Lonchura striata: one gene and its partner. The protein of the gene in region 2 interacts with the protein of the main gene of each other region in a pairwise test. Links are inferred from orthologs where the notes say so. Each region holds a gene or a part of one and is shown on either strand. Other genes may lie near its edges.

Region 1 (7,047 bases), on a different chromosome or scaffold from region 2:
ATTTTATTACATGGTAAGACAGACTAGACAGGGTTGATGGAGAACTCAAGTGAGTGATGTGCTCCTAAATTTCTTCCAGTTTACAGATTCAGAATTCTTAATATATTTCCTCCTAAAGTGTTAATTTTCAACTTTCAGGCTGGCATGTTTGCAAAGGTGCATGTGAATCACTTCATGTGTTTTGTTGGTCAGTGTTTGAAATTGTTTGGATTCTTGTATTTGTACTATTAATTAAAATAAAGGTTTATTTCTTTCTTTAGAAAATGTAGTCTGTATTGTATTTGAAAAGACACATGTATCAATTTTTTAAATGAAGGTGATGTCTTTTGTAGAACTTTTTGTTTAAAAAAATACCTCTCAATAAATGATAAGAAAGTGTAATGCATGCGCTGTGTGTCCTGTTTTTAGGAGACAATTCTGTAACTTCCTGCAGAAAAATTCTGACGAGACCTTTTAAGCTAGGTATTTGTATGGAAGTTGGAGTACTCCATTTGAGTCATGATAGTACAGTTTGAGCTCCCTCTGGTGAATGGATTAGCCAGTTTCTAAATAAAAGACTCAGTAATTAAGGTGGAAGTTCTTTAAGACTTCTTTTAAAATCCATCATGGAAAAGAATACATTGGGGAGCAATCTTGCAACCCCCTGGTTTGTTTACAGTTCTGCCAGGTCTGAAGTGGTGCCTGGGATTTTGTTAACTCTGGTGACTTTAGCTCACCAGTCACTTACCTCAAAAAAAACTGAATTCTGATCACAGCAGAAGTGACTAAAAAGGTGGGAATGTCACCATAAATGAGCACATCTCCCTTTCCAGGGAGCTTCATCTCATTATCAGAGCATTTCTGCACAGTTCTGCTTAGGCACAGCCCAGTGGCTGCTACTTCTGTTGGACAAAATAATCAGAAATTTGTGTGTCACAGAATCATATTTTGTCACTTCACTGCTGTAAGAAATTTGCTATGTAGCTGAGTTTAACTTTTACTAAGGTATTATTACTGACAGCAAGTGTATAGCCATGAAATAGTTCTTGCTCTTCTTGACTTTGACATGTGAACTTAAATTATGTTATGCTGAAGAAATCCTGTTTTTCATGCTACAAAATGTTAGAAACAAATCCTTTATTATGAAAATGGTGAAAGTTACATTTGTTTACTGTCACTACTGTGAGACAACCTAGAACAACTGAGGTACATGATTGCTCTACTTAGAGGAAAACCTTTGGTAAGCTGACATTGGATAATGTGTTTAAATGGCAGTACTGAGCTGTAGATTGTCTATTAAGACAATTAATTGTGTGTTGATTTCTGTTATAGTTAACATTATGTTGAGCTACTGGGCATGTGGCATTTCTAAAGTTATTTCTAGGTTGAAACAACTAGTTAATTTATGTGACAAACAGAACTGGGATGCCATTTCAACAAACAAATGAAGCTGACTAGGATTATCTAATTACCCCCAGGAGCTGCTTTACAGTCTCTGCTGCTGGAGTCCACTTGGAGTGTGCAGCCTTGACCATTTTATGTAGTGGGTTTGTGTTTACACATCCTTCTGCAGGAGTGCAGGTGGGGGAATGTGTCTGGGCTCCAGGCTTTGGGTGTGCTGGAACACACTTGAGGTACCGTGCATGAGAGTTCTTGCTGTATTTTCTTATTTGGTTCTGGTGTGTCTCATCAGTTGCTTTTCTGCAACTGTGCTCACAGATCTTGGCATAAAATAGAGTTAAATGGAACTTCTGTGTTCTGCTCAAATTCTTTATAAAGGAAATTAGTTTAGCTAAAAAATGGGTAGTTAGCTACTCATCATCTTACAAGGTCTTGTTTTCTGGAACTGATAACAGTATTGAAGGAAGCAAGAACTGTCTCTCTTCTGCTTGTCCCCAGCCCACAAAAGGTAAGTTTTTCTTGTGAGCTTCCTCTACAGAGTTTCATCTTTCAGGGAAACGAGGAATTTTCTATTTTCCTTAAAAAAACCTTCTGTCCTGAAAAAGATTGAAGGAAGAAATGGTGAGCTATGTGAGGGTGATGACTCTGCCTGCTGTTTTCTGTGGAATATCAATATGTGGACGTAACAGCACAAATAAACCAAGTTGGAATAAAAACGTCCATGGACAAAGGGTGTAACTATTGCCCACCTTAATTCCTTAGACCTGTGCTGGGGTTTGTTCTCTGCTGTAAGAACAGGATTTTAGGGTTACTGTTTGTGCTTTGCTCTGGCACTTCCCTCTCTCAGCTAAGGAAGGATTTGGTTCCCCAATCCATTCATTAGGAGTTAGAGGCAGGAATTTTTCAGAGCCAGCCAGACAAGGTGGGAGCTGAGTGAGATGAGGTGGCGGAGGGGCTGCAAAAGCAGCATCATGGAAATCTGCCAGGAGGAAGCTCCAGCAGCTGTGCAGGGCTGAGAGCTGGAGAGGGGAAGGGGATGGCAGCGGGAGGCAGCAATTCCTGTGGGAGTTTTGGCCCTTGAGTTGGCTTTTGGGCAAGTCCAGAGGGTACAAGAGGGGATGTGAGCTCTGTCCCTTTGTTGTGCTGTGCTCTGCAGAACTACGTCAGGCCATCAGAGAAGTGGATACCAGTTTGTAGGTGAAATTTCTTTATTTTAGATCATTTACTTTCGGAAGAAAATAGTATTAACTAGGTGTATTAGACATCCATGGAGAAGCAGGTTTGTAAATGAGTCCTAGAAAGAAGCAGTTTTTTCTTCTGGGCTGTTGCTTTACAGGGGAGCACAATAAGGAAGAGCAAGGTAGAACGAGAAAATAAAAACAAGGCAACCTTTAGGCCAAGTAGTGAATGGGAAGAGGGGATTTGCTGCAACAGGGACTGGGAAGAGTGAGGAAGAAATTACCACTGGTTAGGAAGTTACTGCTCAAAACCCAGAGTAAATTGAAAGATGAAATAGTTTGGCCTCAAAATCTTTCCAGGGACAGAAAAGATAAAGATCTTTTACATTAAGCTTGTTTTCTGTAAATGGAAATAATGAGAGCTGCTAGGAATTTAGCCCACTTTAGTAAAGATAACATGACTTTCAATGTTATTTTAGGGGAGAGAAAAGAGCTATATTGTTGTCTAAGCTAGTATGGTTAAGATTAGACCAATTCAAGCAAATCTGTGGCGAAGGTTAAAGTGATTTTCCTGCAAAAATATATATCAGAAGTCCACATGCAAGGAGAGAGGCTGGCAGTCTGTGCTCCACATGATTGCTAACAAAAATCAAGAAATAAAATGTCATGTGTTATCAAAACCAGAGGAGATGGTTATCAAAAATCAGGAGATGGATGTAGCACGGCAGTGTTAAACAGTTTGGATAAACAATGATTGCTAAGCTGCAGTGGAATATCCAGAGGACAAGACTGTCAGCTGCATCTGTTGTACTAAGCAGAAGATCAAACAAGCAGTAAATCTTGCAAGGATTTAATTTGAGGGTTTTTAACTCTAAATTATGAGTAAAGCACCGACTTTGTGCTTTAAGGTGACATACTGCCTTCAATTCGGTATATTGTCCTTAATCCATGTTCCAAAAGACTTGGCTTGGTCCTATGCACATCCAAAATGTCCTCACCCAGGCTGGCTCCCCAGCAGCTGTGTGCAAGCACAGGCTGGAAATATGCTAAAAATTACTTCTGGCAGTTTTGTACTGACAATAAGTCTTTAAGAAAGTACTGCTTTGTTTAGAGAAGAGTCTCCTGCTTCTTCCTCCAAACATAAAATGATAGACATTTAAAAGAATGGGTGTGTTTTGAAATGTGGCTTTGTCTTCACGCCATTTCTTTTTGGAGAGGTGACATCAAAAGCACAAATCTGAGTTTGAGGGCAGGTTAGAAGAGCAGAGTTTTTAAGATGTAGCATCCTCTGAAGTCCAACCTTTCCAGCCTGGTGCTGGTTTGGTTTCCTGCACTGACCTAAGCCATGGTCAGAGATGGTCACTGAGCCAACCTGAAGTCCAGGGGTGGTGCCACACGGTCCTGGCGTGGTTTTGGTCCTTTTGTGCTTCTGTGTTCACAGCCGACACGGTGCAAAAGAAACACCCAGGCTGGGTTTCCCCTCCCCCATGACACAGGCACGGTATGTGGAGCTGAGAAAAGAGGAAGGAAGCTCGGAGAGGCAGCAGATCTCACAGAGCCTGCTCGTCCCGGGGCTGGGGAGCCACGGCGCTTCCGGGGCCTGCCTTGGTCACCCCCAGCTCTGCACCCCAGCACCTGGGCTCCTCGGGGGGCATCCCTGCGAGCCGCTCCCTTCACGTGCCATGGCAAGATGGCACAAGACGGAGAAGAGTGGCGTGGGTAAGTAGCTCAGGGAGCTGCCATTTGAGCATTGTCTTTCTGTCTTCTGAGCAGGATGTGGGCAGGTGTTGTCTCTGCTGTGATGGGTTAACACCATCCACTCCGCCAGCGGGGAGTACCTGAAAAGATCAAATTTGTACAAAGTTTGGATCTTCCAAACAGAACAGCATGAAGTATAGCTTTCCCACTTTGATAGCAATGCAGCTTCTCCCACTTGGTGTGGTAGAAGCAGACTGAATAAATAATGTGTTGTATAATGTGCAGTGGCCAGAAGTTATGGGGAACAAATGTAGGGGAAGGGGAATCCTAGAGTTGCTTCTGCAAGATTGTCACTTATGGTCAGTGCTACAGAAAAAATCTGTGTCTGAGTTGGTAAGTCGTACTTTTGGGAAGGAAAGTAATCTTTAAATAAATAATGTTAACTTGCACAAAGGACAGAATTGCCGTTTTAAAAGAGCCTTTAACAAGTAGGAATCAAAGCTAAAGCACTTGAAAGATGTGTGGTACTACTTAGTTATTTACCTTCTAAATACTTCTAAAAGATTTTTTTTTATTTTAAGTAGGCCATAGTTTTTTGTGATATGCATTAAAAATCCAACTGGCTTCATGAAATAAAATGTAAGGCCAAGAAATTAACAAGAGGAGAATAACGTGTTATTCAAGATCCATGTCCAGCAGTAGCAGAACTGCAAAATGGAAGTAGCCTGTTCTGGTGGCAGTTTACATTAGAAAAAAAAAGTGTCAATATTTTCTGTTTCAATTTTACAAATAGTAGAAAGCACATAAGTTTTGCACTTGTAGTAGTCTCTATGGTATTTGAAAGGCACAACAAACATCACACAGTAAAAAAACCACCTTATAAAATGCAATCTTTCAAAAACTAATGGCTCAGCGATGTCTGTTTTAATGTCCAGAACAGTACAATTTACTCTAGAGTGGGTCCCTGGGAAGAGCTGACACTACAAACCTGCTGCTATTTCCTTTCCCCTCTGCTTGCTCCCTCTGTGAGCAGTTTGATGTGAGACAATCTGGGCACGTGGGGTCCTGCAGTGTGCTGAGAGTGCTCCTGCTTGCTGGCCCCAAGTCCGTGTCCTGGGTTAAAGGAAGGTTTGCCATTAAACACCCCACAAGGCTCCTTATATTTGCATGTAAACATCACAGTTGTAGTGGAGTCTGTGGTTTAGTGTGTCACAAAGCAAAATAAACGGCAATCAAATGGACTTCCAAACAATATTAGAATAGTAATGTAAGTGGGCATACATGTGGCTTTTGGTAGGTTTTTTTCAGTAAGAGAATTCTCTGGTTTTGCACAATTGCTAGAATTTAATGCATAACTACAGATTCAACAACATACAGATTTAGCTTATACCCAGAAGTTCCTTTTCTTAGCCAAACTCTTGGCTCACAGTTCATTTTGCTCTATCTTGGAAATGAAATGTATTTCATTATATATGTTATTGAGAAAAAAATGGGAGACTCTTGCACCCAGAATAATTAAACCAATCAAACATGCATGTACCACTATCACTGGCTCTCCTGCCCCAGAAGTTAAATAAATTTATATTCTTAGAAATTGTCAGGAAAATGGTGTAGTTGCCAAATTTCAAGTAAACGAAACTCATGGAATAGTGAGGCCTGATCAAGGGCTATTGACAACTATGGTCACAAATGAATAGGTTTTTGAATTTACAGTCTTGTAAACATGCCTCCTGTGTCTGAGGGAAATAAGAAAAATGGGCAGACTGAGTCTTCTGAGTCATAAATTCTGTGAAAGTTGATGAGCTTTTGGAATAATACACAGCGGAAGCTGTTTGAACATATAGGGCTATTTTGTCTTCTGTGTTTTTGAAAATCTTTGGGTTTGAGTCTCCCATTGAATTTTCAAGTCTCTTATTAGGAGCATGCCCGATGCCTTCAGTTTCTGCTGATGAACAGAGTTTCAGTTTGAGAATACTGGGCCCATCATGCTTTGGATGAGCAGAGTACACTGCAGGGTGGATCTGGAAGATCACACCATCTCTTGGTTATGGTGAATTGCAGTCTGTTGTGCCTACTTTTGTGTTTTATTTAACTAACAATGGACTAGTCCAGGTAGCAGGTACTCAGCTTTTTCCTAGGAAAATACAGTCCTGATTTTACACATGAATATTGTTTTTAGTCTTGCAGCATTCCCAGCATGAATTTGTGTTATTCCTGTGGACAGAACAGGATAGAATAGTCATGGCAGGCTGGTGCCTTTGGGTGGCAGTTTCCTGATGGAAAGTCTTTGCCATCTGCTCAGACTTTGAGCAAAGTTACAAACTGGTGAAATGATGGCATTCTTAACCCAAATTTACATTGGCATTCTAAACTCAAGAATCAGATTTACTTCTTTTCTACTGGATCAGAAAATATATGTTTGTCCTTTTTAAGCAAAATTATGGGGAGGAGTGGATGACTTCTTTGAAGGTATAGAAAAGCACACGCTCAGCCTGAGTACACAGAGCTGAGACTGGCTTGTCTGATTTTATCTGCTGAAATCCTTGGAAATTATTCTACATCTCTGAAATCTGAATAGATTGAGGTTTAAGGGAGCAGAGCTTTGTTCAGGGCAGGTTTCCTCCATGAAGTGCACCCTCTGAACCCAAAAAAACAGTTCCAGCTCCTTGGGAAGCATAAAAAAAATGGGGAAATAATATTTTTATCCATGGTCCTTCATGAAAAGGAGAAAATCAAACTAAATACCCTATTCTTCATGAAGAGGTCTAAGAAAAATGGCTGTGCTACAATT
Region 2 (7,765 bases):
TATGAAACTATTTAATGTCTTGAAAGGAAATAAGTAAGTAATGATATATTTTTTTAAGGGAAGCTGATTTATTTGATTTTTATAGACTAATAACTAATCTGTAAAGAATGTGTCAATTTAAGAAGCTGTACGAGTGAAGAGACCAAAACCCTGTGGAAATCAGTGACTTACCGCAGATATCAACTATGTCTGTGTTGGACCATATATGGCTGAGTCTTCTGCTGTGCCTGGGATAGTCTGAAAATGATCTGCTGATGCACATTTGCCTTCTGGATTATCCAGCAAGCTGTTGGCCGTGTGGTAGTCTACAAGGCTGGCCTCTACAAGGAGAAGGTGTAGCCACTTCCACCTGGACCCACCATTGCCCAAAGCCAGTGCATCAGCACTCAGTACATCATCTGAGTGCTGTTACAAGGAAACAACTTTTGTGCATGTTCAGTTGTCCCATGATCAAACCATGAAATCACCAGGTACAAGAACTGGTATCCATAAGACAGCATGAAGAGATCAGATGGAGCCTGGGTATAGACTGTATTCAAAGAAGGAATTAAATAAACTATAGTAAAGAATGTGGGGGCAATTCCTTCTTTTTTTGCACATGCACTGCTGCCTCTTTGTTAGATATATTGTCTATTATAATTCTACTTTCAGAGACGGAGATGGTTACTTAGATTATAGAAGAAAGTCCCTATTTTTTTTCTTTTTTAATGCTCATCAGCATTTGGTTCAGGAACCAGATAACCCTTACTCATAGCTAAAGCAAATGAACCAGTAAAGAAATTTCAAAGCAAATTGAATTTCTGAAATACAAAACTCTTGACTATTCTGATTTTTTTGATGTATGTGGTCCTCTGTCTACTCCCACACACATAGTTAACTATTCATTTAAATTATTGTATCAACTTTATTGCGAGGTGTCAGAAGGGCAGCTCATTCTAATTGAGCTCACACTGACCATTCATTCTACTGCAAATTCTTAAAAGATTTAATAATTTTTGAATAAGCAAATGCAAGGTTTGGGGTTTTTCTTCAATTGCTTGGATCCACTGCCTTTTGACTTCAGTTCTACATGATAATACAATGTATTTGGATGGCACTGGCAAGAATACATACTGATTTTTACCTGTTCTGTCTTTGAATAAACTGCAATCTGTTATGCTGCGATCCATTTCATTATCAGACTTAGCATTAAAAAATATAGTACAGATAAACTTCAATTTGTCTTGACACTTCAAACTAAAGAGTTGTAAAATGTGTCTTTGGTTTTTAGTAGCGCTGTGAAAAAAATTGATCTCCAACTAGCAATGAAGTCATGTTTGATGTCATTAGAAGTCTATATTTCCTGTCTGACAGATTTTAATGCCTTTTTTTATTTTTAATGAGGTATAAGGTGAAATTCAGAAAGGTATCTCAGTGGCTTTGCAGCCTAAGTATCACTGAAAGTCAATTTAACTTTATAAGTTTTCACAAATGAACTTACACAGAACTTGTTTCTGTCTAGTTTGCTGTAAAAATATGTGTAATGAAACCTGCTGTCTACCTCTTTGACCAGAAAAAAAAGAGTTTAATGAATTTAGCACTTCCTATTGTTTAAAAAATTTAAAGGTGTGTAAGTCAAAGCTTCCTGTGATCTAAGTAGGTTAAGTACAATTAAACAGACTAAAGTAGCATTATTCCTATAACACCCCAGATGGAAAACACCCAAAATTCATTTTCCGTATACATGCCCATATGGTATGTCTTGAAAGCTACCAGACCAGGATTACTTCTGGGGGGATGGCTTACATTCAACTTGAAGTTGCTTTAGGAGAACACACCTATCATTGGCCTGCTGTCTTTCTGAACTGTGGAGCACCTGCCTGAATTGTTCTGGAAAACAGAAGTGCAGAAATACAATCTGATGACACAGGCAAGCTTTTGAGCAAGACAGACCTGAGCTGTGTTGCAAACACCACTATTTCTTCCTACGCTGTTAAATGGGAAAGGAGAACTATTCATGCAGTAAATTGAATCAGGGTAAATTATTAATAAACTATCTGAGTTCTGCGCTTTTCTTTGTTTTATTTGTTTGTTTTTTAAAGAAGGACTTATGTCTTCCCTTTATCCCCACACAAAATTTGTAGTAAAAGCTGATTGACTATTAAACCTTTCAATTCTGCTATCAGTCTTCTCTGCTTCCTCAGTGTTTTATAAGTTTGCTGAAACCAACTATTTTCCTGCTCCTATTCTTTCTCAGCAAGGAGATTTGTTCTCAGGTATTTTATTCCTCCCTTCTAGAAATACTACAGAATAATAAGGCATCGGTCACCGACATTCTCTACATATTTTTGTAAACACGTGCTGTCCCTCAATTATTTGCATGCCGAGTGGAAATTGCGTAAACGTTGCCTGCACATATCTTAGAATTTTGAAAACATCGCACATCAAATCTTTATATAATGTCTGTACAACACATTCAAAACCTTGTGGATGCCATTATAAAGATTTTACTTTGATTTTTATCTTTTTCATTCCTTCTTCCTCTGCCAACTCCCCCCAACCAAAACAAAACCACAAAGAAAAAGACCCCAAAATCTAAATTCCTCTACAGCAACAAAAATACTTGAACAGTACTAGGCCATTCACAAATGTATTATTGCAACAACTGTCTATTTCATTAGAATAAATACTAAGATAGTAGTATTAGTGGTACATACTAAGAATGTGACATAGGGGTTGAGCACAAAATGTTGTATGGTGCCATAGACTGCTTGTTCTTGAGGTCCCACAAATGGAATTTTAATGAGTTGAGATGACTTAGACATATTTGTTTACTTTCGAAATCAAAACACATTCCTGTATGGTCTGTTGGGGCAAAATCCTGAATAAATATAACCTAAAGTAAATGTATACTTAAAGCTAAACCCTAATTAAAATAAATTTTATTTACCCAAGCTGTAGACACTTTAATTGCATAATAGTTCTAATTCTGTCAGGCGTGGCCGTGGGAGCTGCAGCACGGCATTCCTCGACAGAGATCGCCCTTTCCACAGGACCCCCGGGCCCCGGCTGCGCCTCTCCAGCTGCGCACAGCAGGCACGGGCAGACATTTTCGGCGCGGTCTGTGAGCGGCGGCGCCCGGCCGCTGATGCTCATCATACCCTCAGGGGAGAAGCTGCCTGGCAGCTCCAGCACGGCCACGCCGCCGATGCGGCACCGCTTTAGCGAGGCGTGTCCCCGGACCGCGGAGGGCCGAGAAGCCCGGGGAGCGCGGCGGAGCTCGGGGGAGGCACCGCCGGGGAGGGAAGGGAGAGAGAGCCGGGCAGAGCCGCTGCCTCCCGGCTCCAGCACCGCGGACAGCGCCCGGCGGGCGGGCGGGCGGCTCACGGCGGGCACGGAGCCGCGGCCCCGCGCAGGGACACGGCCACTGCCAGCACATCACCGGCGTGCACGGGCAGGGCGGCCCACGCAGCGACACCGGCGGCACAGGCACGCTGAGACACGCGTGGACAAACGAGCACAGGGGCACAGACACCACCGCCAGGCTCACAGAAAGCACCGCAGCACGGCCTCTCCCGCGCAGCCCGCTCTCTCTCACACACAGTCTCACACAGGCGCGCACAGTTTCACACACACACACACACACGCAATTTCACGCACGCACACACGGTTTCATACACGCGCGCACAGCTTCACACAAGTGCACGCCCACACACACACACAGTTTCACGCACACACGGAGTTTCACACAAACACACACAGTTTCACACACAAACACGGACACGTGCCCGCTCTCCCACAGGCGCAGCACCGGCACAGCCGCACACGGTCACGCGTGCGCGCACCGGCACCACGGACGCCACTCACGGACACGCACTCGCGCTGGCACGCAGAAACTGGCACACACAGCTGCACGCAGACAGACACACAGACAGACACAGCACACACACAGTGACAGACGCACAGACTGTCCTGGTTCCTGCCTGGACAGAGTTAATTTTGGCCGTAGCCGGGAGGGGACATGGCCAGGACCCAGAGGCTGTTCCGCTATCACCTCAGGTCATTGCCGGTGCTGGACTTAGGGGGGAAAGAAGTCTCTTCCTTAAAAAAGGGGTTCCTTCTGGTTCAGTAAGCGCGGGGTGGGTGCGGCGAGGTAACCTCGATTCTAATCATTTTGCATGAGAATCACTTATCTCTCTCGAACACTTTTGTTTTTAATATAATTGCTGTTACTGCTCATTTTCTTATCTCATTGCTGTTTCCAGTAAATTGTTCTTATTCCAACCCGTGATCTTTACCTTCAATTCCTCCAATCCTCCTCTCTAGCCTGCCACGGGGAATGGGGAAAGGGTGGGGAGAGCGAGCTGCAGCGTGGTTTTAGTGGAAGCGGTAAATTAGGTAATACCAGTCCTAAACCACAACACAGACACAGACACACGCAGGCGCACACACCTCCGCGGACGCCCGCCGGCCGCGGGCCCCGCCTGGCGACAGCCAATGGCACGGCGAGTCTGCCCCCGGCGCGGCGGAGCCGCCAATGGGAGCGGCGGGGGCGGGGCCCGGCTGGCTCCGCCTCCCTACTTAAGGCCGCGGGTGGCCGCGGGTCGCTCAGTGGCGGGAGGAGGAGGCGGGGGGGCGAAGGCGCGCGAGCAGCGGCGCGCGGCGACCCGCGCACGTGCCCGCCCCCGCGCGGCGCGAGGGGAAGGCGGAGGCGGGGCCGGGGCAGCGCCCGCCGCGCGAGGGGCGGCGGCACCCGCGGGGCGGCCCCGGCGCGGCCAGCGGCGAGCGGGCGGCCGAGGGCGCGGAGCGGCGAGCCCGGCATCCCGCGCAGCCCGCCCGGCGTGCCCGCGGCGATGGAGCAGGACAAGTACCTGCCCGAGCTGATGGCCGAGAAGGACAGCCTGGATCCCTGCTTTGTTCACGCGATGCGCCTCCTGGAAGACGGTGAGGCTCCGCGCCGCGCTCCCCCGGCCGGGGCGCTCCTCGGGGTGGGCTTGGCGGCCCCGGCCGACTGACAGGGAGCGAACTCGGGTGTCCGGGCCGGTGGGCGGCGGAGCGGCCCGCGGCGGGACCCGGTCGCGCGTGGGGTCGGGGCGGCGGCGGTTCGGGGCTCGGGCGCCCGGGGCCGCCCCGGAGCCTTGCCGAGGGACCCGTCCGGCAGCAGCCGCCGGCGGCCGCAGCGAGCGCCCCGCTGCCCGCCGCCCGCGCTCGCTCCCCGCCGCCCGCGCTCGCTCCCCGCCGTGCGCCGGCGCTGCCGCGGCTGGGTCGCCTGTGCGGGAGGCGCTCCCCTGGTTCCCGGGCTCACTTACACAAAGACAGATGCTGGCGTCTCATTGCATTCGTTATATCCTGTTTTCCACGCTGAAGTAATAAGGTTTATATGGTGATACTATCATGCCGTTAATGCGGCGCTGTTTTTAGTCGACTGCGCGATGTCAGACATTGATTTGATATGGCTTATCAATTTCATGACAGTTTCATCCAGGACATGATGATTTCCTCTTGGTTTTGTGCGGAGATCAGAATACACTGGTTATAACATTTGGATACTCATTGTAGCTCGCCCTCCTTTCCTTGCTTTAGTTGGAGTAGAGTTTTAGTTGGACCTCGCCTAAAGGTTCTTTAAAAAGTTTATCATTTAGTCTCTCTTGTAATAATTGCTCAGTATAGCGGTTGCGTGAAGACCTCGTGGTATGGAATTTTAACTTTTGCCAAAAGTGTAATCCTTTAAGTTCCTCTTATACATGTTTTTCTTCTTAGATATTTAATAGTCTTTATAAAATCCCTGTTAAACTTGGAACCTAATGTTGAAAAGAAGTAGTAAAGAATGATGCATAAATCAAGACAACCTATTAAGTTTTTAAAAGAGATTAAAGCAAAGAAATATATGGTCAGGCCCCTGAGAGTCACACATTCAAATAAACTCAGAGGTGGCAAATAATTTCCCAAGTTCTGTTTATGACCTAAAGAAAATCATAACTAATTCAGATTTACCATGCTAAGCAGTAAGTGTTTTTCCTCTGTCAGCAGTTTTTATATTGTCTTTCCTTAATGTATGTTTTATTGATTGTGAATGAAGATACTGAGTCCAGGTTTTGTTGGAGTGCTTCTGTTTGATAGCTTTAAAATTCATACTGAATTTCAGTATGAATACAGACCCATTTAGTACCGTTTTGTCATAGCTGTCTTGCTGCTAAAGAGGCAGCCATGCTACTTTTTATAGTTGTTTTTCTTATAATCATACCATAAACTAAGTCCTTATTTCTTAGAGGAATGTATTTTTTGAACCTTGCAGTTCGGTCTTTTCCCAGAGGGGGGAAGTATCCTCTGAGAGTGTGTGTGTGAGTGTCTGGGAAAGGAGGAAAATGCAGGAAGGACAAAACCGAAAGTAGGCAAATAAAAGTAAAAGGAAAATTGTTTTTTCTAGGTATCAAGTTCATGTAGAAGTTGCATTTTGAGCAACTGTGAGATTGAATAAATGAACGATTTTCTCATTCCTTCTTGGCCTAAGTAGGACTATGCATTATTTCACTGGATTTTTTAAAAGATGAAGGTGAGTTGTCTGAGAGAATGCTAATGTCAGATTCACACCAGGTACCTGGCATTATCCTTCAAAACACCATCTGTCAAGCTTTCTAGACATTTGTTTTAGAGTCGAACATATGACGACTGTTAAAACACTTAACCATAGTAAGAATGTTACTACTTAAGAAAATTAAAATTAATGCACTGGTTGCTGCTGGGCATAAATAGAAAGGGCAGAATTTTCTTTTTTGAGTGCCAGAAGAAAATGGGATCCTGGTGCAAGGATCTCTGTAGTAGTGAGTAATTTCTAGGTTATATTAACGATGAAATATTTTTTCCAGACTCTGGATTTCTGTTCTTTAGAATGTAACGTGCAATCAGCTACATCCCTAACGATACCAGCCAGGTGTTCTTTTTATGGTGTCCTAAGCATTTTTGATTGCCAGCACACTTTGTATCAAATACATAAGTGTAGATTTGCTTTGGAGCTCAGAGCCTCAAGCATTCAGTCTGACTTGAAAGTGCTGTGTTGTTTCATATTGGCTGCTAAAACCCAAGGTTGAGAACAGTTGTGTTCCTGTGAGAAACCGCAGAAGGGCACACAAGCAATAAGTATTCCAGAAAAATGCTTCTCATTTGCAAGAGTGGATTTACTTGTAAAGATAAGACTACCCATTTTCCCCCAATAATTTCTTTTGTTTGTTTGAATCTGTTGCGTGGTCTTTCTTTGTTTGTGTGTTTTGGTGTACTTAACCAATATTTACACCAACATATTTCTTATGTTTTCAATATGTGGGTCTGTGTCCTTCAGGTTGACCTGTTTCAGATGCATACTTCAATCAGTAGCTATTTATCCCTCACCATTAAGTGATGACTAGAAATCACTTATTTTAGTCCTTGCCTGGGTCTGGTATAATCCCCAGAAAAGGGACATTTCCTTTGGCAGACTATTTACATACATGCCAAACAACAGAAAGAAAGGTAAGGTCCTAATGAAGGTAGAAGGTACTAGTGCTATTTAAATACAAAGTGTGGAGACAAAACCTGATTTCTTTAAAAATCCCTGAGGGAATCTGTTGTGGATTCTAACACTGAATGGCCAATTGAGTGCCTTAATCAGAAGATACTTATTTCCCATGGGTCATAGCCCGTTTCATGTAGAAGTAGATCCTACATGACTGTTGCACTATTGGAAATGGAAAAGTCATTGGTAAGTCATCTACTAGGAGGACTTGTGAGTGGCTAATGATATTTGCCTCAC

What was found.
Region 1: the proteins of KHDRBS2 (region 2) and DOCK2 interact in binary tests that used the Homo sapiens proteins (3 or more experiments, as listed by UniProt). The two-hybrid records come from large-scale screens. The link is inferred for Lonchura striata from reciprocal best matches to the Homo sapiens genes KHDRBS2 and DOCK2.

Annotation. Positions count from the first base shown.
Region 1 is NC_134617.1:14,571,324-14,578,370, forward strand, and holds the start of DOCK2 (dedicator of cytokinesis protein 2), read left to right. Parts: upstream 1-4,045; coding exon 4,046-4,277; intron 4,278-7,047. UniProt on the Homo sapiens protein: Involved in cytoskeletal rearrangements required for lymphocyte migration in response of chemokines. Activates RAC1 and RAC2, but not CDC42, by functioning as a guanine nucleotide exchange factor (GEF), which exchanges bound GDP for free GTP.
Region 2 is NC_134605.1:88,486,098-88,493,862, forward strand, and holds the start of KHDRBS2 (KH domain-containing, RNA-binding, signal transduction-associated protein 2), read left to right. Parts: upstream 1-4,763; 5' UTR 4,764-4,832; coding exon 4,833-4,923; intron 4,924-7,765. UniProt on the Homo sapiens protein: RNA-binding protein that plays a role in the regulation of alternative splicing and influences mRNA splice site selection and exon inclusion. Binds both poly(A) and poly(U) homopolymers. Phosphorylation by PTK6 inhibits its RNA-binding ability.